7 linked regions of the Macaca fascicularis genome follow. The protein of the gene in region 1 purifies or fractionates together with the protein of each later gene. This does not show direct contact. Links are inferred from orthologs where the notes say so. Each region holds a gene or a part of one and is shown in the gene's direction. Other genes may lie near its edges. The genes, in order: SF3B4, PRPF8, ILF2, DHX15, DDX42, PHF5A and RBM17.

Region 1 (2,126 bases):
CTTCGATCTACTTTCACAGAGTAGGTTTTTTAAAACACAGATGTGCACACACTTGCTCAAAATGACTCTGTTGCTCCCTTTTACCTACAGAGTAAAACTCAAACTCATTACCATAGCATTCACAGCTCTTTATGAGCTGGCCCCTGCCCCTCATTTCTGTAACTGCATTTTGCTCCTGATTACTGAGTTAACTGGCATTTCCTGGAATATATTGTGCTGTTTGACACACCTGTAATCTTTCTGCTTGGGATGCTTTCTTCCCATGATCTTACCCTCCTGAAGCATTCATCCTTTAGAATTAGATCTTGGCTTAGACAGTATGTTCTCTGCTACTTTCTCAAATCCTATCAACAGAGTCATTACTCCACTTGTTATATACTTCAGCATTACTATTACAGTACCTAAATCATGGGAGAAGCGAGCGTAAGGAGTTGATTGAGTAATTGGTTGGTTTGTGCTGTTGGAATAGGGTCAAGGATAGGGAGCACTTTTTACCACTCTTCTTTTTTTGTTTGTTTGTTTGTTTGTTTGGTGATGGGGTCTCACTCTTTCACTCAGGCTGGAGTGCAGTAGTGTAGTTTTGGCTTATTGTAGCCTTGATCCTCCCATCTCAGCCTCCTGAGTACCTGGGACTACAGGCACACACCACCATGCCTGGCTAATTAAAAGTATTTTTTGATAGAGATGGGTTCTCACTGTGTTGCCCAGGCTGGTCTTGAACTCCTGGGCTCAAGTGATCCACTTAGGCCTCCCGAAGTGCTGGGATTATTGGCATGAGCCACTGTGCCCAGCCAGCCTTATTTTCTGTACCCTTTTTTCTGTATAGTTCTCTTTCTGATGTCACTTTCTTTCTAATTTTGTTCTTTTCTCTATTTTCTTTGCCTTCTCTTTGTCTCTTTTCTTCTTGTGTCTGTTTTATTTTCATAGGGATGTCTCAGATGCAGCTGGCACACCATGGCCCTCATGGCTTAGGACATCCCCACGCTGGACCCCCAGGCTCTGGGGGGCAGCCACCACCCCGACCACCACCTGGAATGCCTCATCCTGGACCTCCTCCAATGGGTATGCCCCCCCGAGGGCCTCCATTCGGATCTCCCATGGGTAAGTCGTCTCTAGCCACCTCCCTCATCTGCACCTATCATGTTCTTACAGCTTCCTGTAGGCACATCCCTTGTCCCGTGCCCTTACTAACTTTTCTTTTACTCCTTGCAGGTCACCCAGGTCCTATGCCTCCGCATGGTATGCGTGGACCTCCTCCACTGATGCCCCCGCATGGATACACTGGCCCTCCACGACCCCCACCCTATGGCTACCAGCGGGGGCCTCTCCCTCCACCCAGACCCACTCCCCGGCCACCAGTTCCCCCTCGAGGTCCACTTCGAGGCCCTCTCCCTCAGTAAATTCACATTTTTCCTTCCTCCTGTTACATCTTCCCAATATCTTTTCTATTCCTTGGACCAATCAGAGATGCTGTAGCTCCTTGGGGCTAAGGTACTAATCCCTTTTAGCACCCCCAGCCCATTCCCCTTTTTAATGTAATTTTTTCCACAGGAGGTATTTCTTTTTTATGTTGGTCCTGAGTATTTTGCAAATGCACAGAGAAAATAAAACTAAACTGCTTGTTTATTTGTGGTGTTTTCCTTGACAACAGTAACTTTTTTCTTTAAGAAGAGATGTCAGAGTATCATGAAAAGAATGGTAAGGTAGGAGTAGGAGCAAGGGTGCTCACTCCACATTTTAAAGGCTTGTTCTGTAATGTACTGTTGCAGTTGCTGAGCTCTGCTGTGCACTAGAGTAATTGTTTCCTTACATAGAGCTTATCTTCTAGTTTGGAAGATAGGGGGACCCAATATCTATAGTGTAGGATCATCGTGTTTTTTTCTTTTTTCTTTTTTTTTTTGGAGACATGGTCTTGCTCTGTTGCCTAGGCTGGAGTGCGGTGGCATGATCACAGCTCACTGCACCCCCAACCTCCCAGGCTCAGGTGATTCTCCCACCAAAGCCTCCCAAGTAGCTGGGATCACAGGTGTATGCCATCACACCCAGCTAATTTTTGTATTTTTTGTAGAGGTGAGGTTTTGCCATGTTGCCCAGACTGGTTTTGAACTCCTGGGTTCAAGCGATCC
Region 2 (3,500 bases), on another chromosome or scaffold:
GGATTACAGGTGCCCGCCACCTGTAATCTAGCTTTTTTTTTTTTTTTTTTTTTTTATTTATCTATTTTTTTTTTTTGAGACTGTCTTGCTCTGTTGCCCCGGGGGAATGCAATGGCACGATCTCGGCTCACCACAATCTCTGCCTCCCGGTTCAAGCGATTCTCCTGCTTCAGCCTCCCGAGTAGCTGGGACTACAGGCGCGCACCACCATGCTTGGCTAATTTTTGAATTTTTAGTAGAGATGGGGTTTCACTATGTTAGCCAGGCTGGTCTTGAACTCTTGACCTCAGGTGATCCACCCTCCTTGGTCTCCCAAAGTGCTGGGATTACCAGCGTGAGCCACTGTACGCAGCCTCACTGGACTTACTTTCTCACATCTTTTTTCATTTATACATGTAGACAGGGCTCTTTCCAGGGACCTATTTGGAGACCAGCTATGAGTGTATCCTTACTGCCCCTTTAAATTCACATGGGCAGTCTTAGTTCCTGGTTTTTGCCTTAAGGTTTCTCATTTACCCTTTTGTTTTAGATGTTGTTTAGATGTTGAGGACCCAGAGTTGTTTTTTTCTTTTTACTCCTCTACTGCCATCCATATATTCGTCTGTATGTGTATATATATATATATATATATTTTTTTTTTTTTTTTTTTTTTTTTCTGAGACGGAGTCTGGCTCTGTCACCCAGGCTGGAGTGCAGTGGCGCGATCTCGGCTCACTGCAAGCTCCGCCTCCCGGGTTTACGCCATTCTCCTGCCTCAGCCTCCCGAGTAGCTGGGACTACAGGCGCCCGCCACCTCACCCGCCTAGTTTTTTGTATTTTTTAGTAGAGACGGGGTTTCACCGTGTTAGCCAGGATGGTCTCGATCTCCTGACCTCGTGATCCGCCCGTCTCGGCCTCCCAAAGTGCTGGGATTACAGGCTTGAGCCACCGTGCCCGGCCTGTATGTATATTATACATATATGCCCCACCTCTGCCCAGGTTTCTGTTGCTGTTTAAATGCATTGCTAACTTGTGTTCTTAACTTCTGCTTGGGATTATAGGGCCCTGTAGGGAAGGGTCCTGGCTGTGGCTTTTGGGCTGCTGGTTGGCGAGTCTGGCTGTTTTTCATGCGTGGCATTACCCCTTTGTTGGAGCGATGGCTGGGCAACCTCCTGGCCCGGCAGTTTGAAGGTGAGTGGTTTTCTCTGTGTCCAACTTCTCCTGTTACTGCTTCAAAGCTACCTCTCGTTGTCTGAGTCTATTCCCTGCTCTTGTATGAGCACCCCTTCCTACTGGATTGCCTTCAGGTTCAGTTCTCAAAATGAGTCTGACCTAGTTTTCTATTTCTTGGGCTTCCTTCTGGGGCCTTGAGAGGCAATCATGCACTTGCAGGAGTGGACATTCTTCAGAAGCGTAGTTGTGAATGTTTAAGGTAGCTCATCTTTTTGCATATGCTGGGCACATGGACGCTTTGTTAATACCTAATTTTATTGTGACCATAATAAGTGAGGGACATGAAGGTAGAGACCCTTACTGAAAGCAAGGAATCATGCTTGTAATCCCCTTGGGATACTCTACTTCTAGGTCGACACTCAAAGGGGGTGGCAAAGACAGTAACAAAACAGCGAGTGGAGTCACATTTCGACCTGGAGCTGCGGGCAGCTGTGATGCATGATATTCTGGACATGATGCCTGAGGGGATCAAACAGAACAAGGCCCGCACAATCCTCCAGCACCTCAGTGAAGCCTGGCGCTGCTGGAAAGCCAACATTCCCTGGAAGGTGGGCGTCTCTGCATTTCCTTGGAGGGGTGAACATCGTCTTTAGGTCAGGATCACCACTCTGGGACTCATGAGGGGCCTATCTGGCTCCCACCTCTTTTCTTTTCTCTTTTAGAGAGGTGCTTGCTGTGTTGCTTAGGCTGGCCTCAAGCTCAAGCTCCTGAGCTCGAGCAGTCCTCCTCAGCCTCCTGAGTAGCCGGGACTACAGGTGTGCACCGCAGCACCTGCTTTATCCCGGCTTGATTGTGCTTTTTGGACTTTTAGGTCCCTGGACTGCCAACGCCCATAGAGAATATGATCCTTCGATATGTGAAGGCCAAGGCTGACTGGTGGACCAACACTGCCCACTACAACCGAGAACGGATCCGCCGAGGGGCCACTGTGGACAAGACTGTGTGTAAAAAGAACCTGGGCCGCCTCACCCGGCTGTATCTGAAGGCAGAACAGGAGCGGCAGCACAACTACCTGAAGGTTGGGCAGAGTAGGCTGGGCTGGCTGTGAGCGGTCGGGGAGTGGGCATGAGGGAGGACTGCAGAGTTGTGACTGAACCTTGTTCTCGGGGGAGCGGGCTATAGCGGGAGGCTAATTTCATGTCCACCTTGCAGGACGGGCCTTACATCACGGCGGAGGAAGCAGTGGCAGTATATACCACCACAGTGCATTGGTTGGAAAGCCGCAGGTTCTCACCCATCCCATTCCCCCCACTCTCCTATAAGCATGACACCAAGTTGCTCATCTTGGCATTGGAGCGGCTCAAGGAAGCTTATAGGTGAGTATTAGGGTAGATAGGTTCCTGCTGGGAAGGTGACAGGAGGGAATAGCATCACCCTCAGAGTCCAAAGAGAGAAGGTGTAGCCCCAGTCTCTTCTGGTTTTACTTCCTCCTGGTTTTCCCATTCACCGTTGCCATTGCCTTATCAGTGTGAAGTCTCGGTTGAACCAGTCACAGAGGGAGGAGCTAGGTCTGATTGAGCAGGCCTACGATAACCCCCACGAGGCGCTGTCCCGCATCAAGCGTCACCTCCTCACACAGAGAGCCTTCAAAGAGGTGAGTGAGAGCCTCCCAAGTTTTCTTTTTGGTTCTGCCTTTCATTCTTGGTAGAACCAAAGGTAGCAGGTTGCCTCAGGTGATTGGTGTGAACCAGCCTCCTTGTACCACAGGTGGGCATTGAGTTCATGGATCTCTATAGCCACCTGGTTCCAGTATACGACGTAGAGCCACTGGAGAAGATAACTGATGCCTACCTGGACCAATACCTGTGGTATGAAGCCGACAAGCGCCGCCTGTTCCCACCCTGGATTAAGCCTGCTGACACAGAACCACCTCCACTGCTTGTTTACAAGTGGTGCCAAGGTAGAACTTTCCTGAGATTGCCCTGTGAGGAATGGGGGATGAATTTAGTTCTATGTCAAAATTCTCATCTGGGCAGCATGATTGGTTTACTCTCCTGATGCATGGTAGTAAAAGGAAGTAGTGTTCCTGTTAAACTGAGGAAAGCCCATAGTCAAAGCAATCCGGATGCCTACGTGGAATGGTAGTGGGATTGGTTGTGGAAGGTGATGATAGTTACTGTGGGGCTAGTCCTGAAAGAGGATTTCTAACCTGCTGGAGACCTGCCTTGCTACTCCTCAGGCATCAATAACCTGCAGGACGTGTGGGAGACAAGTGAAGGCGAGTGCAATGTCATGCTGGAGTCCCGCTTTGAGAAGATGTATGAGAAGATCGACTTGACCCTGCTCAA
Region 3 (4,169 bases), about 3.9 Mb from region 1:
GCCGAAATGGGAGAGTCTGTTGAGCCCAGGGGGTCGAGGCTGCAGTGAGCTATGATGGTGTACCACTGCTCTCCAGCCTGGGCAACAGAGTGAGACCCTGTGTACAAATAAAATAATAGAAGAGAGGGTAAGAGACAAAGAGATTACTGGGGGAAAAGTCTAATACGTCTTTGGAGTTCAGGAAGGAGGGAAATAATAGGTAAAACTAATACTGGAAGATATAATAGCTAATAAATTATATAAATGGATGACAAACCTCAAGCCATTGATTCAAGAAGCTCAACAAACCTCAAGCAAGATTTTTTTTTTTTTTTTTTTTTTTTTAAGACGGAGTCTCCCTCTATCGCCCAGGCTGGAGTGCAGTGGCGCCATCTCAACTCACTGCAACCTCCGCCTCCTGGATTCAAGATTCTCCTGCCTCAGCCTCCCGAGTAACTGGAATTACAAGTGCCCGCCAGCACAAGCCACCGCACCCGGCCCTTTTTTTTTTTTTTTTTTTTTAAATTAATAACATTTATTTAAATCTGGATGGTGGTTATGTGGACAGAATACGTTTAGACTTAAGATGTTTACGTTCTGCTGTAGTAAATTAAATATCAAAAAAGTACGTATGGAAGGGAGGTAGATGAGGGATAAAAGTCTACAAGTTGGATTCAGTGTATACTGCTCGGGTGATGAGTGCACCAAAATCTCACAAATCACCACTAAAGAATTTATGTAACCAAGCCGGGCGCGGTGGCTCAGGCCGGTAATCCCAGCACTTTGGGAGGCTGAGGCGGGTGGAACACCTGTTTTCCACATTAATTCAATCAATATACTCCTCCTATCTGAAACCTGTTTCTCCTGCTTCGAGTTTGTAGACGTGTAGTGTTCATAGTTGCCTAAACTCCCTTTTCCCCATCAACTTCAACTGCTAGTGGCAAAAATGGCTGATACCGCTTGCGTTTTTGGGGTAGGAAAATCGGCAAGGTATTTTCATTCACTGAATGTAATGTAAATTACGTGTACGGTACAGGGCAATGAAAAAAATTCCGATAGCAGAGGATGGTTTCGATCCATCGACCTCTGGGTTATGGGCCCAGCACGCTTCCGCTGCGCCACTCTGCTATCTGAAGGCCAACGTTCTCATAACTGTTATAGAAGACCACGTAGTCGTTGTCCTGACTTCTTCAGTGCCACCTAATGTCTGATCAAAAATTCGTCATTACTATAGAACCAGTTCTTATTGGCTAGTTCCTGACACAGTAGGCGTTTTTTATTGGTTCATAAGCCCGGTTTGACAAAGTAAGCCAATAGGCATAAGCGATGGGGTAAGGCGGGAGCCAATCACGCCGGGTTTTATTGGGACACGCCGGCAAGACTCCTCTTCAGTTGTCTGCTCCTCAGAGGAAAGGGGCGGTTGGTGCGGCCTCCATTGTTCGTGTTTTAAGGCGCCATGAGGTAAGGGGGTCGAAGTGGTCGAAAGGTTTCAGGTATTCGACGGAAAACTTTGGGAACGTGGGTCGAAAGAAGTCGGAGTACCTAAAAGGACCATGTATCCGGGAGCTGGCCAAAAACCTGAGAACTCCTGGTCTAGGAGAGTGGGAGAGAGTGAGGCCGGTAGAGGCGGGGAAACGGGCCCGGGATGGGGTTGGGGCCGGGGCCCAGGAGTGGGGAGGCGGGTTCGACACCTCTCTTTGAAGGGTTGCGATGAGGAGGTGTCCTCAAGTCCACGGAGGAGCTCCCCACCTTCCCTCCGTCCCCGTCATCCGGGCTGAGAATGCTGGAGCGAGCCGCATTCATCCTCAGTGCGAAGGGCTTGACATACAGGACATGCCCGATAAATGTGTACGTTAATGAAGAAATGAGCAATCTTTAGCTTCCGAAGTATTAGGATTCGTGTGGCCCAGGATTATGGGTTATTTCGTGTAGGGCTCACTGTCTGAGCCCCATCATTACTTGATGGGGGGTTGTGATTAACTTATCCAGAATGAGGAGGTTATGGGGGTGTAACTGGGCACCATTTGGAATGGGGAGAAGTGTGTGAGTGGGGTCTCTTGCCTACCGTTGGGAGGTTCCGAGGGATGAAAGTAGCCAACTTAAAATGACATGGCCGGTGGGTATTCCTTCAATGAGATCAAAATAAAATCTGCATTTCTAGGGGTGACAGAGGCCGTGGTCGTGGTGGGCGCTTTGGTTCCAGAGGAGGCCCAGGAGGAGGGTGAGTGCCAGCTTTTAGCATCTCTGCACTTAGTTGTTAGTTTCTGCTTGTCATCTAAATAGGAGTTTTGGAATAGACTAATGTCACTTGGTTTTGTGAGAGCCAACTGTGGTCTTTTCCGCACTCCTGCTAAATGAATTTGGCCCCACTATGCTAAGAATGATTCTCTCCCTCCCCAGAGACTTTGTCACTCATTCTGAGGTCTGACATGTTTTCAAAATTGTTGGTGTTATTTAAATCTCACTTGATTCCTACATAGGGAATAATTTGGCTGTTTTTCATGTTTTAGGTTCAGGCCCTTTGTACCACATATCCCATTTGACTTCTATTTGGTGAGTACCTTGGGTTAATAATACACAATTTCTGGCCATTCTTGAAATGGAGCCTAGTATCTCCCAGTTAATGAAGTTAGATAGTGGTTGAAGAGGGCAGGCACAGTGCCTCACACCTGTAATCTTAGCACTTTGGGAGGCCGAGGCGGATGGATCACCTGATGTCAGGAGTTTGAGACCATCCTGGCCAATATGGTGAAACCCCATCTCTAGTAAAAATAAAAAAGTTGCTTGGGCGTGTGCCTGTAATCCCAGCTACTTGGGAGGCTGAAGCAGGAGAATCGCTTGAACCCGGGAGGCGGAGGTTGCGTGAACTGAGATGGCACCACTACCAAAAAAAAAAAAAAAAAAAATGGTGATTGAAATGAGGGGGAAAGTGATTTTTGAAAAGACTTGGGGTTTTGAGTCAACTGTGTGTTGCTTTACCTACAGAAACAGTGTAAGCATGGTGGGGAGAATAATTCCTTGACTACTGTTGGCATTAAACATGATTATAATCTTTGTTCTGAACAAGTAATCGTATCTATGGCTAATTTGTTACTATAAAGATAGTGATAGCTTAAATTATGGCTATTCCAGCTTGTATCCTTGTTTGAACATTTTTTCTTTTTTTTTTTGAGACAGAGTCTCACTCCGTCACCCAGGCTGGAGTGCAGTGGTGCAATCTTGGCTCACTGCACTGAACCCGGGAGGCAGAGGAATCAGGACCTCTGCCTCCCAGGTTCAAACAGTTCTCCTGCCTCAGCCTCCCAAGTAGTTGCTATTATAGGCGCCATGCCCAGCTGTTTTTTGGGTATCTAGTAGAGACGGGGTTTCACCATGTTGCCCAGGCTGATCTTGAACTCCTGACCTCAAGCGATCTGCCCACCTCGGCCTCCCAAGGTGCCGGGATTACAGGCGTGACCCACCATGCCTGGCCTTTGAACAAATTTTTTTTTTTTTTTTTTTGAGGCAGGGTCTTACTGTGTTGCCCAGGCTGGAGTGCAGTGGCACGATCTTGGCTCACTGCAGCCTCGCTTCCTGTGTTCAAGGGATTCTCCCACCTCAGCTGGGATTACAGGCGTGAGCCACCATGCCCAGCTAATTGAACAAATTAAGGAGTAAAAACAAGTGTAGAATTTTCTATTTTTAACCTTTTTCTGTCGTAGTAATAGAAAAAACAATCTCTCCTGTATATTATTTTCGGCAAATGGAATGTAGTTGTTTACTTCTGGTTTAGTGTGAAATGGCCTTCCCCCGGGTCAAGCCAGCACCTGATGAAACCTCCTTCAGTGAGGCCTTGCTGAAGAGGAATCAGGACCTGGCTCCTAATTCTGCTGAACAGGTATGTTCTTTTGGCTGTCTTCCAGAAATGTCTCTAAAGCAGGTAAAAGTATTGGTAAAGAGTAACTGTTGGTAAGGTTAAGAATGGTGTTAACAGAGCCTGAAATCCACAGAGGGTTTAATTGTTCTCCTTATTTCTCATTGTGGGTGGAGATAGCCAGGTGAATATATAAACAAATTACATATGCATTCTTATTTTTATTGGGGACAAAGAGTTGTTCTCTTTCCATATATTCAAGGCCAGAATGAAGTGTTTTTAAAGTCCTAGGTCAGTATTGAGTCAGCTCATATGGAAGGGATTAGGAGAAAATACT
Region 4 (4,278 bases), on another chromosome or scaffold:
CTAGCCGGGCGGGGTGGCGGGAGCTTGTAATCCCAGCTAGGAGGGAGGCTGAGGCAGGAGAATGGCTTAAACCTGGGGGGCGGAGGTTGCAGTGAGCTGAGATCGTGCCACTGTCCCCCAGCCTGGACGACAGAGTAAGACTCTGTCTCAAAACAAACACACAAACCCCTCATCAGTTGCAATATTTAAGTTGTGTTTAATCCTAGCAATTGCAGTCCCGAGACTTTGATAAGAACCAGAGTATGATCTTCCACGGCAGCCAAACCAAGTCATTCCATGAACAACAGAGATCACCCTGCTGCAGATAGTCCACAGATCTTTTCTTGTGCATTTCTTCTGGGAACGAATGCAACTGAGGAAGCAGAGATATTCTAGGGGGAGAGATCTACAAAATTCCTTAGAGTCATCTTGCCCCACCTCCTTGTTACGGCTTTAGGTACAGCCCTTATGGCCGTGAGATTTAACCTTCCGCAGCCTTTGCGTCCACGTCTACAAAATAACAACTACCTTGCAGGGTGTTATTTAACACTGTGAAAGTGCATTAATAGGCACAGAAAGAAAAACAAAAAAACAAACATAAAAGCAAATTGTGCCCTCACTGCGAATTCTCTGTATTCTAGCTAAAAACATCTATAGCTTGAGTGCATGGGTGTCTGTGCTGGGCAAGAAAAGGGCAAACTAGATCATGACAAGCCTTAAGATTTTCTCACTTTAGTTTCCTCACTGCAATTGATTTTTTTTTTTTTTCCCAAGTCGGAGTCTTGTTCTGTCGCCTAGGCTGGAGTGCACTGGCGTGATCTCATCGCAATCTCTGCCTCCCAGGTTCAAGCGATTCTCCTGCCTCAGCCTACCGAGTAGCTCGGATTACAGGCGTGCGCCACCACGCCCGGCTCATTTTTGTATTTTTAGTAGAGACGGGGTTTCACTATGTTGGCCAGGCTGGTCTCGAACTCCTGACCTCGTGATCCGCCTGCCTCGATCTCCCAAAGTGTTGGGATTACAGGCGTGAACCACCGCGCGCGGTCCCTCACTGCAACTGAGAGTAGCGGGGTGGCCTCAAGTTCCAGATCTGGAGTTACTAAATAGCTGGGTTCCAATCCCGGCTCTGCCACTTATTAGTTGTACGATCTTCGTTTCTCAACCTCTCTGGGTCTGAGATTCCCTTAAAGCCGGGGTAATAGAGATGAATAGGATTTCCTAACTAGGACTAGACTTCCTCAATTTCTCGACTCAGAGGGGCAAGGATAGACTGAAATGGAAAGTGAAGGCCTTCAGGCTTTTCCTAACAGCCGCTCCTAGGAGGGGAAAGCTACGGGAAGAGGGAGGAGACGCAAGAAAGGTCGGACCAATGAGGCAGCGGGCGGGACAGGAGTTCCCGCCTTTGGGCGGCGTGCGCGCGCACCTCGCTCACACGCACACTCGCACGCACGCACGCTGCGGAAGCGCGCGCGCGCGCAGGCCCAGCCCTCGTCGCCGCCGCCATTTTAGCTCCTGGTTCCGGCCGCACCGTGTGGGCTGTAGTAGCGGGAGGGGTGGGGGTCCTCCAGAGTTAAGTGGCTGTCCTCCACTGTGCCCATACAGCGGCTAGCTTTCTTCCTTAATAACCGCCCGTTCGAAGAGTGCGAGGATGTCCAAGCGGCACCGGTTGGACCTAGGGGAGGATTACCCCTCTGGCAAGAAGCGTGCGGGGACCGATGGGTAAGCCAGGCCGGGGGCGCGAGGCAGCAGCTCGGGCTTTGTTGGGGTCCTGGCAGGGAGCGGGCTGGGACTGGCCTGGCCGAGCGGGTCCTGGAGCCCGAGCCTTTGTTTCCTTCTGGGCTGGGTTCACCAGCGGCGGGTCGGAGAAGCGCGGCGCCCGTTCGGCCCGGCAAGGGCGCGGGGAGTTGCGTGCGGCGGGGCCGGTGCCCAACCCAGTCCGGAGGGTGGAGAGGCCTGCAGTGGCCATGAGGGCGCCTCCTCCCCCAGGCCGAACCGAGCAGGAGTCACTTTCGAGGGCGTGGGGCGGGAGTGAACCGCGGACCTCGTGGCCTCGGTTCCCGAGGAAGGCCTGGATCCGGGGGAGAGAGTGGGGGAGGGCGCGGCGGGAGTATTCGCTTCCAAGGGCACCAGGCACTTCCCAGGCAGAGGGGCCATGGGGAGGGCCTGAGTGGGGGCGCGGCCAGGCACTCCAGACGGGAAAGGCGGAGGGCGGAAAGTGAGAGCAGCGCGTGGATCCTAATGTAGGCTGGGGTGGGGGTGGCGGGAGTTGAGAGAAGCCAGCAAATGGGGAGTTCTCTGGGGAAGTGGAGTAGAGGACTTGCCGGGAGAAAGGAAGGGTGGAGTAAAATACCTGGTGGGCTGGAAGGCTGGTGTTTTGGGGCGACTGAGTTTATAGTTTGGCGGGAGAGAGCGTGTCTCGGTCCATTCAAACACTTTAAAGTAGATACTAGCAAACTTCCGCCCTCTGCCTACGCTCCCGCCATCTCCTCTATTTCCTGCTTTGGTTAAAAGTGGTTACCGAACATCATCCCATGGGGAGGGATTAGAAGGCATTCTTTTTTTTTTTTTTTCATCATTTATTTTCTGTGCATGTCCCACTTTTCTTCATAAGTAGCTTTTGAAATACAGGGATCATGTTCAAAACGTGTTTTTAGTATTGATGGCGAAACACCGCCCATGTGGAGGTTGAGAGTTGAAATACTTACACAAACTCATGGTGTTCCAGATTCCTTTCCTTAAAGATACAGAGGAATTTAACAGTTAACTTAAGCAGTTTTATGAAAATCTGTTTCTTTCCCGTGTGTGTTTTCATTGCTGAAGTACAAAGACCTATTTGGATAATTCAGGCAAAACCCACAAAAGCCCGAATATCCAAATACTTTGCATAATTTTATCATTTTATTGTGTACTTGTGATACGGAATCACTGTGTCAAGTCCCCTTGTCTAGCTTTTTTGAAATTTTCAGCTGAAGTTCTTCATTGAAATTGATTTCTAGGGATATGTTTAGTGTCATTGTAGAGTATAAGCCAGGATAGGATGTACTTTGAGACCTTCCCATATGTTGAATTATTCAATACAAAGCAAAAGCATGTACAGTTTTGTGAGTTGTTTAGTTGGCGATATTAGGCATTGTAAAAAGACAATGACACTGTAAGACAGACTCTCTTTAGGCTATCACTGTCCCCCACCGTTACCCCCCACAAAACGTTAAATGCCTCTGAGCTGTATGTCACAGACTCTCAGAGCTGGGAGCAACTTAAAAAAGACTCTACAGCTCCACTCAAGGAATGAGAAATGGAGAACAGTTAAGGTGGCTTGGGCAAGTTTACAGCAGGATCTGGAACCCTGCCTTTATCATTTTCACTCAGCAGCACACAGTTCAGTACTGTAGTTAAGACTCATTACAGCCTATTTTAATGACATTTATAATGGGTTGGTAAAGTAGGGAACACTTAGTTCTTGATTTCTCTGAAGCAAAAATAAATTGCTGTCATCTGGAACTGATGTCTCTAACAGGAGGTCAGATTGGAACAAAATATTCTGGGAGGGAATGAATGAATTCATTTGTATTTGTGCATATGTGCACCATTTAAAATGCTTCCCTTGGGATTAGTGGTCCCACCATATGTATGTGCAATTGTTTACTATCTCTTGCAAAAACAGATACCCTTAGTAAACATGTCGACTTTCGGGGTCAAATGGTAGCTTTATGATTCCCTTGTATATTATTTAGAATTTGCCTGTGGATAAAGGCGAGTTCATCTTTGGAATAATGCTCAAGTTATAAGAAATTGTAGAGGGAAGTTTTAATACTAATTTCTATGTCATTTGAGTGCCATTTATCATAGAACTGGCTTTATTTAACAGTGGACTTACAGTGTTTATCAGCATCAGGATTTTTTTTCATACTCCATAATTTTAAGTCACTTGTTGACTGCCATGCAATCCTGCAGATTTTTTTTTTTACCCTGATAGTCAGCAAGTGGTTTTATCTGAGAGCATAAGCTTGTCAGTCTTACAAACTCCACTGCCAGATAGGATGTCTCCAATACTGAGAAGAGAAGGTAATTCAGTGGGAGATTTCACTTACATTAATGTTCCCAACTATATAAGTCTTTATTTTATTCTTGACATATTTTAACTTTGAAATCAGGTGAAGTTATTATAGGTTTCTGTTGCGTATTCTGGCCTCATTTCTTCTTTTTGTCAACCCACAGAGTCTTCACTATACAGTTATTACCAAGAGACAACTTACTGTTGAAGTATGGAAAAAAGTTTTCCATGTTAGGGACGTTTTT
Region 5 (3,500 bases), on another chromosome or scaffold:
TCTCTGTCTTTATTTTTATTCATATGCCTTTGATCATAGAGGTTAAGGTCTGTGTACTTGGGTAGGTGAATGTCAGATGATTCGAGGCCCTTTGCTTTCCTATCCTCATAGCTGTCTTTACTGATTGGAACACTGCTAGACCTAGCCCAGTTGGATGGAGGGAAAATTTTTCACTTTTATACTGAACGATATGTCTAGGAGCTTCGTTTTTTTTTGAGACAGAGTTTCACTCTTGTTGCCCAGGCTGGAGTGCAGTGGTGCGATCTCACTACAACCTCCTCCTTCCAGTTTCAAGCGATTCTCCTGCCTCAGCCTCCTGAGTAGCTGGGATTATAGGCACCTACTCCACACCTGGCTAGTTTGTTTTTTTGTTTTTGTTTTTTTTTTTCGGTATTTTTAGTAGAGAGAGCTGCGTTGACCAGGTTGCAAACTCCTGACCTTAAGTGATCCGGTGATCCACCTGCTTCGGCCTCCCAGAGTGCTAGGATTACAGGCATGAGCCACTGCGCCCGGCCTGGGGTTTCTAATTTTCTTAATTCTTACAACTTCTTGTGAATACTTTTACTACAATGGCTTTTTCCAGGCTTCCCAAACTGTATTTCAGGTTATAATATTAATTTTATTGTTCTGCTTCTTCCAGAGTACCAAGTTCGATCCATAGCAAGTCATGTTCGTCCTGACAGACAGAGTATGTATGAAGCACCTTCGTTAAACCAAATTTGTACTAAAAAGGACACTTATTTATTTTATAAGCACTCAGAGTTATGGAAGTAAAAATGATCATGTGTGTATTGGTGAGAACCGTAACGAGGGAGGTAATGAGTTTATCTGAGCTGGACAGGATCTTAGCACTAGATATAACTTGTTCCTTTTTATAGATGATAAAAGCAAGCCTCAGAAATTAAATAAGCTGCCCAAAATTATACAGTTTTATCAGCGGGTAGAAGCAATGATCAGTACAGATCTGCTGATTTGAAATCAAGAGTCTTTTTCTGAACCATGCTGACAACTTGTCTTAACTAAAAATGTAATAAAAATAGAATAAGAGCAAATCTTTCTCTAGTGAATCAATTTTTAAACTAAATTTAAAGCTCAGGTGAGCTTATGTAAAAAAACTGAATAATCTTGAATGCCAAAGAAGCTTAATGGATATTCATAAAGATATACTGTTTCTCTAACAGAATTTATCTTATCTTGTAGCTCTCTTATTTAGTGCAACTTTTCGGAAAAAGATTGAAAAGTTGGCCAGAGACATCCTGATCGACCCTATTCGAGTGGTGCAGGGAGATATTGGAGAGGTAACCCTAAACAGGGCTGGATGGGACCTTAATGTGTTTATTTCTCATATTATGGAACACAGAATTAATTTCTCACTATTGAGATAAAAAAAGATGTTATGTTTATAGATGCAACATGCTTGAGATTTGGTATTTTGCAAGTTGTGGGGATACATGAAAGAGGACTGGCAAAATATTGGGAATCATAGAAGCTAGATGATGGGTACGAGTTGATTTTGTTCATTTTGCTTTTCTGTTTGTTTTACTGAATGTCTCAAAACTTTATAATTGTTTTAAAAAGGCTTCAAAGAGACAAAAAGATCTGCCTGGAAGCATACTACAGTGTGTTAGGTTGGAACTGACGTTTTAATTATTGTGGGAGGGGCCTACACAGGAGGGAAAGGGTGACCTGAAAGGCCTGGCAAAAATCAGGTTTCATTTCTTACCTGTACATATGCGCTATATGGAAAATTTCTCTGAATTGGGACTTGGAATTCAGTTATGGCTGCTTAAGAATCCTTCAGTTGCTTGCCATGGTTATTGTTAAGGAAAGCTCTAGAAAGTAGTGGGGCATACAAATTAGGTATATACACCAGGCGGAGAGCAAGGTGATTGAAAAGGAGAGGTGAGTTTTGAGCTGCACTTGACTTGCTGAAGGAAGGCCCAAGGAGAACTGGATTGTTGAAGGTCTTCTCGATGCAGGTAGAAAATACAATGCTAGTCCTTGTTTAGGTGGCCTGTGACTCCAATGTCACAATCATCTGTTTCATTTCTTCCTTCTCAGGCAAATGAAGATGTGACACAGATTGTGGAGATTCTCCATTCTGGACCTAGTAAATGGAACTGGCTTACCCGGCGTCTGGTAGAGTTTACCTCTTCAGGGAGTGTCCTCCTCTTTGTTACTAAAAAAGCCAATGCTGAAGAGCTAGCGAATAACCTTAAACAGGAGGGTCATAATCTTGGGCTGCTCCATGGGGATATGGATCAGAGTGAGAGAAACAAGGTCATTTCAGACTTTAAGAAAAAGGACATCCCAGTCCTGGTGGCCACAGATGTTGCAGGTAGAGTATGAATTTTTCAACAACATTAAGTTCCTAGGCTATAAGGGTACTCTGTCTTACTGTATAAGACGTGTAATATCTGAGCAGGCTGATGGAAAGACTATTGGCCTGACTGGCCATCCCCTCCCAAACCCCCAAGGAAGCAGCAGTTCAGCACAGGGATCACAGTCTGGAGCTCTAGACACCACTTTTCTTTTTTTTTTTTTTTTTTTTTTTTTTTTTTTTTTTTTTGAGACGGAGTCTCGCTCTGTCGCCCAGGCTGGAGTGCAGTGGCCTGATCTCAGCTCACTGCAAGCTCCGCCTCCCGGGTTCACGCCATTCTCCTGCCTCAGCCTCCCGAGTAGCTGGGACTACAGGCGCCCGCCACCTCGCCCGGCTAGTTTTTTGTAGTTTTAGTAGAGACGGGGTTTCACTGTGTTCACCAGGATGGTCTCGATCTCCTGACCTCGTGATCCACCCGTCTCGGCCTCCCAAAGTGCTGGGATTACAGGCTTGAGCCACCGCGCCCGGCCGACACCACTTTTCACTTAGTGTCTCTCTCTGATCAAAGAATCCCTGCAGCGGCTGGGCGCAGTGGCTCAAGCCTGTAATGCCAGCATTTTGGGAGGCCGAGACGGGCGGATCACGAGGTCAGGAGATCGAGACCATCCTGGCTAACACGGTGAAACCTCGTCTCTACTAAAAAATAGAAAAAAGTAGCCAGGTGAGGTGACAGGTGCCTGTAGTCCCAGCTACTCAGGAGGCTGAGGCAGGAGAATGGCCTAAACCCGGGAGGTGGAGCTTGCAGTGAGCTGAGATCCGGCCACTATACTCCAGCCTGAGCGACAGAGCAAGAATCTGTCTCAAGAAAAAAAAAAAAAAAAAGAATCCCTGCAGCTAGAAGTCACTGGGGGAAAAAAGGCAATGAATGCCCTTATTGTATGTCTGAATATAGTAGATATCTTACATTGATCTACTATACACAGCTTAGTTGGGCAACTTCACTCAGGATGAGAACAGTTTTTGGAATATTATTTCTGCTTTGTTCTGTCAAGTTTTAATAACTACCCTTAAACACTGATATTCCCAGAAAGGAGAGAACTTCTCAGCTTCATGACACATTTTAAAAATATATTCCCAGTGCAAGAGAAGAGGGCATGGCAGATTCTTGATGCAAAAGATA
Region 6 (3,958 bases), on another chromosome or scaffold:
ATGAGAAAAATCATCTCATTCCTATGATTACATGAATCAAATAATATTATGAAGAATTAAAAAACAGTCCTCAAATCTTGTGCAAACGTGAGAGACTATTATTATTATTTACTACGTAGGGGCCCAGAAGACCACCTCCCCCCCTCGGGCATTCCATGTTCCGCAGGGTCCTCAAAAGGTGGTACAGGGTCCTAGTTTCTTCTCCAGACTCCAGGCCTGGCAACCGTAGATGCTGTCATGTCTCTGTTGCTAAGAGATGGGAAGTGAGGCCTCAGGAACTGGGCCTAGAAGGCTCAACAACGACCGCGCCCCCTAGTCACCTTGTCCTCACCTTGAGGAATGGAAAGACACCCCACGGGAGCAGGGAATGCTGTCCTCAAAAAGAAGAAAGAGGTGCCTCCGCTCTTCACCCGGCCGCCGCTGCTTGGGCCCACGCTTCTTGCGAGGCGGGGACAGGGCCAGGAAAGCTGACTGTGCCGGGGACGCCTTGACCTAGGGCACCAGAGGAGCGGACACGGGTGCCGGGCCCACAACCGGAACAGGTACACGAGAAGTTGGCCCTAGGTCGGGCCCGCCTCGCCCTGCCTCGCCCATAGCCGCCGGCACAGTAGGAGGCACCCCGCCCCCGTGAACCCAGAGGTCCCTGAGCTCGCTCACCTGCAGCCGAGTCACCAGTAGGCTGTAGGGCGCCATTTTGTGCACTGACAAAGATGAGGTCGCATGCAAGTGACGTCCCAAACGGCGCCTTTTAAAGCCTTTGGGCAGGGGCGTGCCCGGAAGAGTGGGGCGTCACGGTGAAGGCGAGGCCTCCCTAGGGGCACCAGAACCCTGGGAACGCAATGAGCGGAGCTCAAGAGTAATGAACAGACACGCAAGAGGAAATAGAACTGCCTAAAGACACTTGCAGAAGTAGATACCAAGCACAAATATGTTTTATCCAAGAACAAATTTTAGTTATCTCTGCCATCCAAATCTGGGAGTGTTTTTAAGACTTTCATGCACCTGCCAGGACCTGGCCACACAGCAGCGACAGAAACTCGCGCGAGAGCAAGAGGGGCCTGGTGCAAGGATCGTAAACTGACGGAAGCTTAGAGGACCAATCACAGCGACGTGGAGGCAGGAACAATGGGAAATAAAGGTCGGACGGAAGTTCCGGAAGCTTCCGGTGGCCGGCTTAATTGGGAGCTATGGCTAAACATCATCCTGATTTGATCTTTTGCCGCAAGCAGGCTGGTGTTGGTGAGACTGCGCCCTGCCCCTGTCTGTCTGGGTAGGGGTGGTATTAGGAGCTGGGGGGTCGGGGGTTCCCATCACTTCCTTAGTGGCTTGCCCAGCTGGCGCCACGTTTCCCGCCTCTCGGGCGCGGGGTGTTGTAGGAACGCACAGGTTTGTGGCCGCTGATGAGAAGAGGGCGGGGGTGCGCGTGCTGGGAGCCCCAGGCAGGTATCGGGGGTGGGGTCTGGGCCAGGTCCACAGAAACTCAGAGCTTGCCCCAGGACGTTGGAGGAGATTCAGAAGGGTGGTTGGGCTGTGGGTTTGGTTCATTTGGAAATTTGTAATGATAAAATGGCTATCCGCAGGTATCACTGCAGTCCGTACTCATGTCCCTACCCCCAGCTCGAGGATGTACTTCCCGTTTGTCAAAACCTTTATTCTAATTGTACTTTTTAACCATCTTTCATCTTGCAGCCATCGGAAGACTGTGTGAAAAATGTGAGTGGAACCTTCCGTCCCAACAGCCCACCCTTCCCACTCCCAGTTTCTGTGGAACCAGCAAAAGTGCCACAAAGAGGGCTTTGAGTAGATGTGCCTGGAAGTATGTGAACACTGAATGCTGGACTTCAACCAAAGGCCCCTCTGTCTCCCCACTGCCACTTGCACATTTAACGCTGTATCTCTCTAGTTTTCAACAGGAAAAATTGCCAGAGTAGCATGACCCCTCCCTAATACACAGCACTTTGCCGGCAATTATATAGGCTTATCATCTCTGAGGTGATTTTCTAGGCTCTTTACATATGTTAATTGATAAACTTTTGTATATGTTGAGGGACTTGAGATGGATACTGGGTAAACCAAGTTTCGTGATGCCAAGAGGAGGGTCCTAAAGTCACTGTCAAAAGGAGACTAGTGTATTTCCCCATGGCAGGAGATAGCAGAGGACTGAAGAACTTGTTGTGAGTATGACTCCATTCTCTTCCTTACAGGTGATGGCAAGTGTGTGATTTGTGACTCCTATGTGCGTCCCTGCACTCTGGTGCGCATATGTGATGAGTGTAACTATGGATCTTACCAGGGACGCTGTGTGATCTGTGGAGGCCCTGGGGTCTCTGATGCGTATTATTGTAAGGAGTGCACCATCCAGGAGAAGGATGTAAGTGTACAGCTTTCCATCTGACCTTTCCTGCTTTTGTTTCCTGCTTTTTTGCCATCCACTGCAATCTCCTATGGTCTATGGAGATTACTGTGTTCATCTAGTCATCTAGGTTATAATTTTTTCAAGTTCTGTGAGTCAAACTGGGTGTAGTTCAATAAAAGGCAGTTATTTTGCATCAAGGGGAAAAATGCAAGGGAAGCAAATCTTTGTCAAGACCAGCAATTTGAAGAGCCCTCTCTCTATTCATGTTTCTCTGTGATTATTTTTATTCAGAAATGACATCCGGCTGGGCGTGGTGGCTCACACCTGTAATCTCAGCACTTTGGGAGTCCAAGTTAATGAGGATCACTTTAGTCCAGGAGTTCAAGACTAGCCTGGGTCACAGAGCAAGATCCCATCTCAAAAACAACAACAAAAAACAATTTGGTTTTTTGGTTTTGTTTTGTTTTTTTGTTTTCCTTTTTTTTGAGACAGGGTCTCTTGCTCTGTGGCCCAGGCTGGGGTGCAGTGGCATGATCACGTGCAAGGCTCACTGCAGCCTTGACTCCCCCGGGCTCAAACGATCCTCCCACCTCATCCTCCCAAGTAGCTGGGACTGCAGGCATGCGCCACCACACCTGGCTAATTTTTTTTTTGTAGAGACAGGGTCTTGTCTTGTTGCCTAGGTTGGTCTCAAACTCCTGGGCTCAAGTGATCCTCCTGCCTTAGCCTCACCAGGTGCTGGGATTACAGGCATGAACCATCACTCCTGGCCAGAAAAACATATTTTTCATTAGTCGGGTGTGCTGGTGTGTACCTGTGGTCCCAGCTACTTGGGAAACTGAGGCGGGTGGAGGATCACTTGGGCCCAGGAGGTCAAGGCTACAGTGAGCCATTTTCATGCCACTGCACTCCAGCCTGGGTGACAGAGACCCTGTCTGTTTATAAGGCCTGTACAGCCCATGTTGTGTCATAGCCACTCATTAACGTCTCAGATCTATCATTAAGCACTATTCGGGTGTATATCGTGACAAAGTTGAATTTGGGACGATTCAAGTTGACTTCAGCTTTAAGCAGTTAACAAGTACCTTTGGTTTAATATTGCAGAAGTGATTGTGGCCCTGCATCATGACTTTTTTTTTGTCCCTTGACACTGCGTAGTGGCAGTGGTTACTTACTATTCAACTCTCTGAGCCAAATGCCAGGAGAGAGAGCTTATAGACCAGTGCTACAGGCAAGGTTTACCCCATTTCTTTCGTTTAGTATTGGCAGCAGGGTTTTTGTGGGGGAAAACTATGAATCAGCATGTTTTCTTCAAAAAACAAAACAAAAGGAAGTATGATACAGTCTCACTAGGTTAATGATAGTACCCAGTTATCTAATTTATTTATTTATTTGTTTTTTATTTTTTGAGACGGAGTTCACTCTTGTTGCCCAGGCTGGAGTGCAGTGGCACAATCTCGGCTCACCGCAACCTCCGCCTCCTGGGTTCAAGCAATTCTCCTGCCTCAGCCTCCCGGGTAGCTGGGATTACAGGCATGCGCCACCACGCCCAGCCCATTTTGTATTTTTAGTAGAGACGGGGTTTCTCCATGTTGGTCAGGC
Region 7 (2,389 bases), on another chromosome or scaffold:
TGTTGCTGTTTGTTGACCACATAATTATTTGTTTACGTCATCCGCTGGCACAGAGCCTTGATGAGGTCAGAAACTGCTTAGCCCTGTGTTCCTGGCACTAACAATGCCTGTCATAAAAACAGGCATTCAGTACATTTTTGATGATGAACAAATTATACTTATTTCCTTGGTATTTGACAACTAGTTGACTGTATATGATGATAATTAGAAGATTCACTCTGAGAAATCATTTAAAAGAGAAAACTCATTCAATGCAATCTCAAATCCCTTTACGCATCACACTCTCATTTTCTTCCAGATTCCTGGTGCCCCTGATGATGAAGCAGTACGGATATTTTTAGAATTTGAGAGAGTTGAATCAGCAATTAAAGGTTAGTTGTACAGCTAAATATTAAAGAATTAAAAAGTTGAGTTTACAGCCTTAATGTTTACAAGTAAAGTTACTGTTTAATTAAAGTTAAACCTTTATAATGTCTTATAGGATACCTATATTAACTGTCTTTTGTTTGCCTTTCAGCGGTTGTTGACTTGAATGGGAGGTATTTTGGTGGACGGGTGGTAAAAGCATGTTTCTACAATTTGGACAAATTCAGGGTCTTGGATTTGGCAGAACAAGTTTGATTTTAAGAACTAGAGCACGAGTCATCTCCGGTGATCCTTAAATGAACTGCAGGCTGAGAAAAGAAGGAAAAAGGTCACAGCCTCCATGGCTGTTGCATACCAAGACTCTTGGAAGGACTTCTAAGATATATGTTGATTGATCCCTTTTTTATTTTGTGGTTTTTTAATATAGTATAAAAATCCTTTTAAAAAAACAACAATCTGTGTGCCTCTCTGGTTGTTTCTCTTTTTTATTATTACTCCTGAGTTGATGACATTTTTTGTTAGATTTCATGGTAATTCTCAAGTGCTTCAATGATGCAGCATTTCTTGCACTTAAAAAAAAAAAAAAATAGAAAATTTTGGGACATGGGGTGATATTAAATTATTCTTTGTTTTTCTTTTTCTTTTAATAAAGCCTGCAAGTTACTATATTGTAGTTTCATAAATTCTGTAATAAAGTATCATCTTGGCAGTGTGCCAAAGGTGAAAATGATGCTTTCTCTAACAGAGAAATTCTTAGTGACTCCAGTTGTAGAAAAACGTCTTTACAACCTGAATAAGATTGAAGAATTGTGAACATACCATGCCTATTGGATGAATCATTTGCCGTTAAGCTAAGTCAGACTGTAGGGTTTGTGATGGATTTATGGAATATGTGGGTATAGAAATCATGAATCTAGCATTTGTTTTCAGAGATTCAAGCATAGTCTTTAGGGTAGATCAGAAATGACAAATGAATTCAAAACCTAGCAGGTGCATTGTAAATGTGTGCCCAATTATGTTTTGGAAATGGCAGTTCCTTGGGGTCATGTTTCTACTGGCAAAATTTGCAATAGTATTGTATGTAATTTTAAAACTTATAAAATTATCCACATTGGCCACATAAACTGTACTGCCAATTAATAGAATTCTGGAATTGTGAGAAATTGTATCATTGAAGTTCAATAGGATGTGTGGCTTAAAAATTTATCAGGACCACAAAAAAGAAAACAAAAATATTTGGTACTGAGGTTCATTGCCAGGGCAGGAGGTATTTCCAGAAAATACTCATGCCTGTGTTCTGTTCCTTGCTTTCCCAAATACTGCATGTGACTCTCCTAAGTGGCAGCTGAAAGACTCGAGCCCGTGTTGTCTCCTTTGGTTATTATGACATGAAAGTGTATCAAGAACTCAGCATTTCTTTGCATCCATGGACTTGGTTTGGAGACATAAGGAATATTCTGACCCTTTTTAAAAAAGGATTTTCTCATGTTTTTATTTAACATAAATAAAAGAATAACATTTTATCTTTTGTGGTATTATTTTATTGAATAAAGTTGAGTTTGATGATAAAAGTGCACCTGTTCTGTAAAGTCAGTTGGGGTTAAGGAATGTGAGGTAAATTACATAATTGAACATTGTAGAGGACAGAAAGAATCCAAAGCAGCCCTGAAACTAGTTATCTGTGGAATTAGGCATACCATTCCTCAAGCGGACACCATGTTTGAGCTTACAAGTACCCGAGTGTGCCATGCTGAATGTAACAAGGACTAGTTTGATTTCAGAAACTAATGGTTCCAACCCACCTTTCATGCTTGCATTTATTGTTATGCTTTGTAATAACATTGTTTGCTTGCATTTAGGTGGCCTTTCTTCACATTCTCATGGTCAGCAACCAGAGAATTGCAAGCAACTCATACTACTTGATTTCCATTCGCATGGGCACAACTTATTGCATGCCTTTTTCCCCAGTCTTTTATTTTTAAAATTATCCGTAACTGCATTAATCACTTAGTGCTTTATTTAT

What was found.
Region 2: the proteins of SF3B4 (region 1) and PRPF8 purify together in Homo sapiens (affinity purification with mass spectrometry; 4 studies listed by BioGRID and IntAct, with this or other methods). This does not show direct contact. The link is inferred for Macaca fascicularis from reciprocal best matches to the Homo sapiens genes SF3B4 and PRPF8.
Region 3: the proteins of SF3B4 (region 1) and ILF2 fractionate together in Homo sapiens (co-fractionation; 3 studies listed by BioGRID, with this or other methods). This does not show direct contact. The link is inferred for Macaca fascicularis from reciprocal best matches to the Homo sapiens genes SF3B4 and ILF2.
Region 4: the proteins of SF3B4 (region 1) and DHX15 purify together in Homo sapiens (co-immunoprecipitation; 4 studies listed by BioGRID and IntAct, with this or other methods). This does not show direct contact. The link is inferred for Macaca fascicularis from reciprocal best matches to the Homo sapiens genes SF3B4 and DHX15.
Region 5: the proteins of SF3B4 (region 1) and DDX42 purify together in Homo sapiens (affinity purification with mass spectrometry; 3 studies listed by BioGRID and IntAct, with this or other methods). This does not show direct contact. The link is inferred for Macaca fascicularis from reciprocal best matches to the Homo sapiens genes SF3B4 and DDX42.
Region 6: the proteins of SF3B4 (region 1) and PHF5A purify together in Homo sapiens (affinity purification with mass spectrometry; 6 studies listed by BioGRID and IntAct, with this or other methods). This does not show direct contact. The link is inferred for Macaca fascicularis from reciprocal best matches to the Homo sapiens genes SF3B4 and PHF5A.
Region 7: the proteins of SF3B4 (region 1) and RBM17 purify together in Homo sapiens (affinity purification with mass spectrometry; 4 studies listed by BioGRID and IntAct, with this or other methods). This does not show direct contact. The link is inferred for Macaca fascicularis from reciprocal best matches to the Homo sapiens genes SF3B4 and RBM17.

Annotation. Positions count from the first base shown.
Region 1 is NC_088375.1:111,356,219-111,358,344, forward strand, and holds the end of SF3B4 (splicing factor 3B subunit 4), read left to right. Parts: intron 1-927; coding exon 928-1,101; intron 1,102-1,212; coding exon 1,213-1,400; 3' UTR 1,401-1,626; downstream 1,627-2,126. UniProt on the Homo sapiens protein: Component of the 17S U2 SnRNP complex of the spliceosome, a large ribonucleoprotein complex that removes introns from transcribed pre-mRNAs.
Region 2 is NC_088390.1:1,799,951-1,803,450, reverse strand, and holds part of PRPF8 (pre-mRNA-processing-splicing factor 8), read left to right. Parts: intron 1-1,040; coding exon 1,041-1,170; intron 1,171-1,563; coding exon 1,564-1,760; intron 1,761-2,023; coding exon 2,024-2,230; intron 2,231-2,364; coding exon 2,365-2,528; intron 2,529-2,679; coding exon 2,680-2,806; intron 2,807-2,919; coding exon 2,920-3,112; intron 3,113-3,391; coding exon 3,392-3,500. UniProt on the Homo sapiens protein: Plays a role in pre-mRNA splicing as core component of precatalytic, catalytic and postcatalytic spliceosomal complexes, both of the predominant U2-type spliceosome and the minor U12-type spliceosome.
Region 3 is NC_088375.1:107,501,063-107,505,231, forward strand, and holds the start of ILF2 (interleukin enhancer-binding factor 2), read left to right. Parts: upstream 1-1,369; 5' UTR 1,370-1,435; coding exon of another isoform or gene 1,436-1,440; 5' UTR 1,441-1,759; coding exon 1,760-1,827; intron 1,828-2,140; coding exon 2,141-2,200; intron 2,201-2,489; coding exon 2,490-2,532; intron 2,533-3,732; exon of another isoform or gene 3,733-3,751; coding exon 3,752-3,856; intron 3,857-4,169. UniProt on the Homo sapiens protein: Chromatin-interacting protein that forms a stable heterodimer with interleukin enhancer-binding factor 3/ILF3 and plays a role in several biological processes including transcription, innate immunity or cell growth.
Region 4 is NC_088379.1:23,698,089-23,702,366, reverse strand, and holds the start of DHX15 (ATP-dependent RNA helicase DHX15), read left to right. Parts: upstream 1-1,478; 5' UTR 1,479-1,627; coding exon 1,628-1,698; intron 1,699-4,278.
Region 5 is NC_088390.1:70,316,136-70,319,635, forward strand, and holds part of DDX42 (ATP-dependent RNA helicase DDX42), read left to right. Parts: intron 1-640; coding exon 641-688; intron 689-1,200; coding exon 1,201-1,298; intron 1,299-2,061; coding exon 2,062-2,338; intron 2,339-3,500. UniProt on the Homo sapiens protein: ATP-dependent RNA helicase that binds to partially double-stranded RNAs (dsRNAs) in order to unwind RNA secondary structures. Unwinding is promoted in the presence of single-strand binding proteins.
Region 6 is NC_088384.1:10,143,649-10,147,606, forward strand, and holds the start of PHF5A (PHD finger-like domain-containing protein 5A), read left to right. Parts: upstream 1-1,158; 5' UTR 1,159-1,187; coding exon 1,188-1,239; intron 1,240-1,689; coding exon 1,690-1,713; intron 1,714-2,204; coding exon 2,205-2,371; intron 2,372-3,958. Other genes in the region: ACO2 (aconitate hydratase, mitochondrial), read right to left, coding at 658-693.
Region 7 is NC_088383.1:7,064,927-7,067,315, forward strand, and holds the end of RBM17 (splicing factor 45), read left to right. Parts: intron 1-298; coding exon 299-371; intron 372-517; coding exon 518-621; 3' UTR 622-1,889; downstream 1,890-2,389. UniProt on the Homo sapiens protein: Splice factor that binds to the single-stranded 3'AG at the exon/intron border and promotes its utilization in the second catalytic step. Involved in the regulation of alternative splicing and the utilization of cryptic splice sites.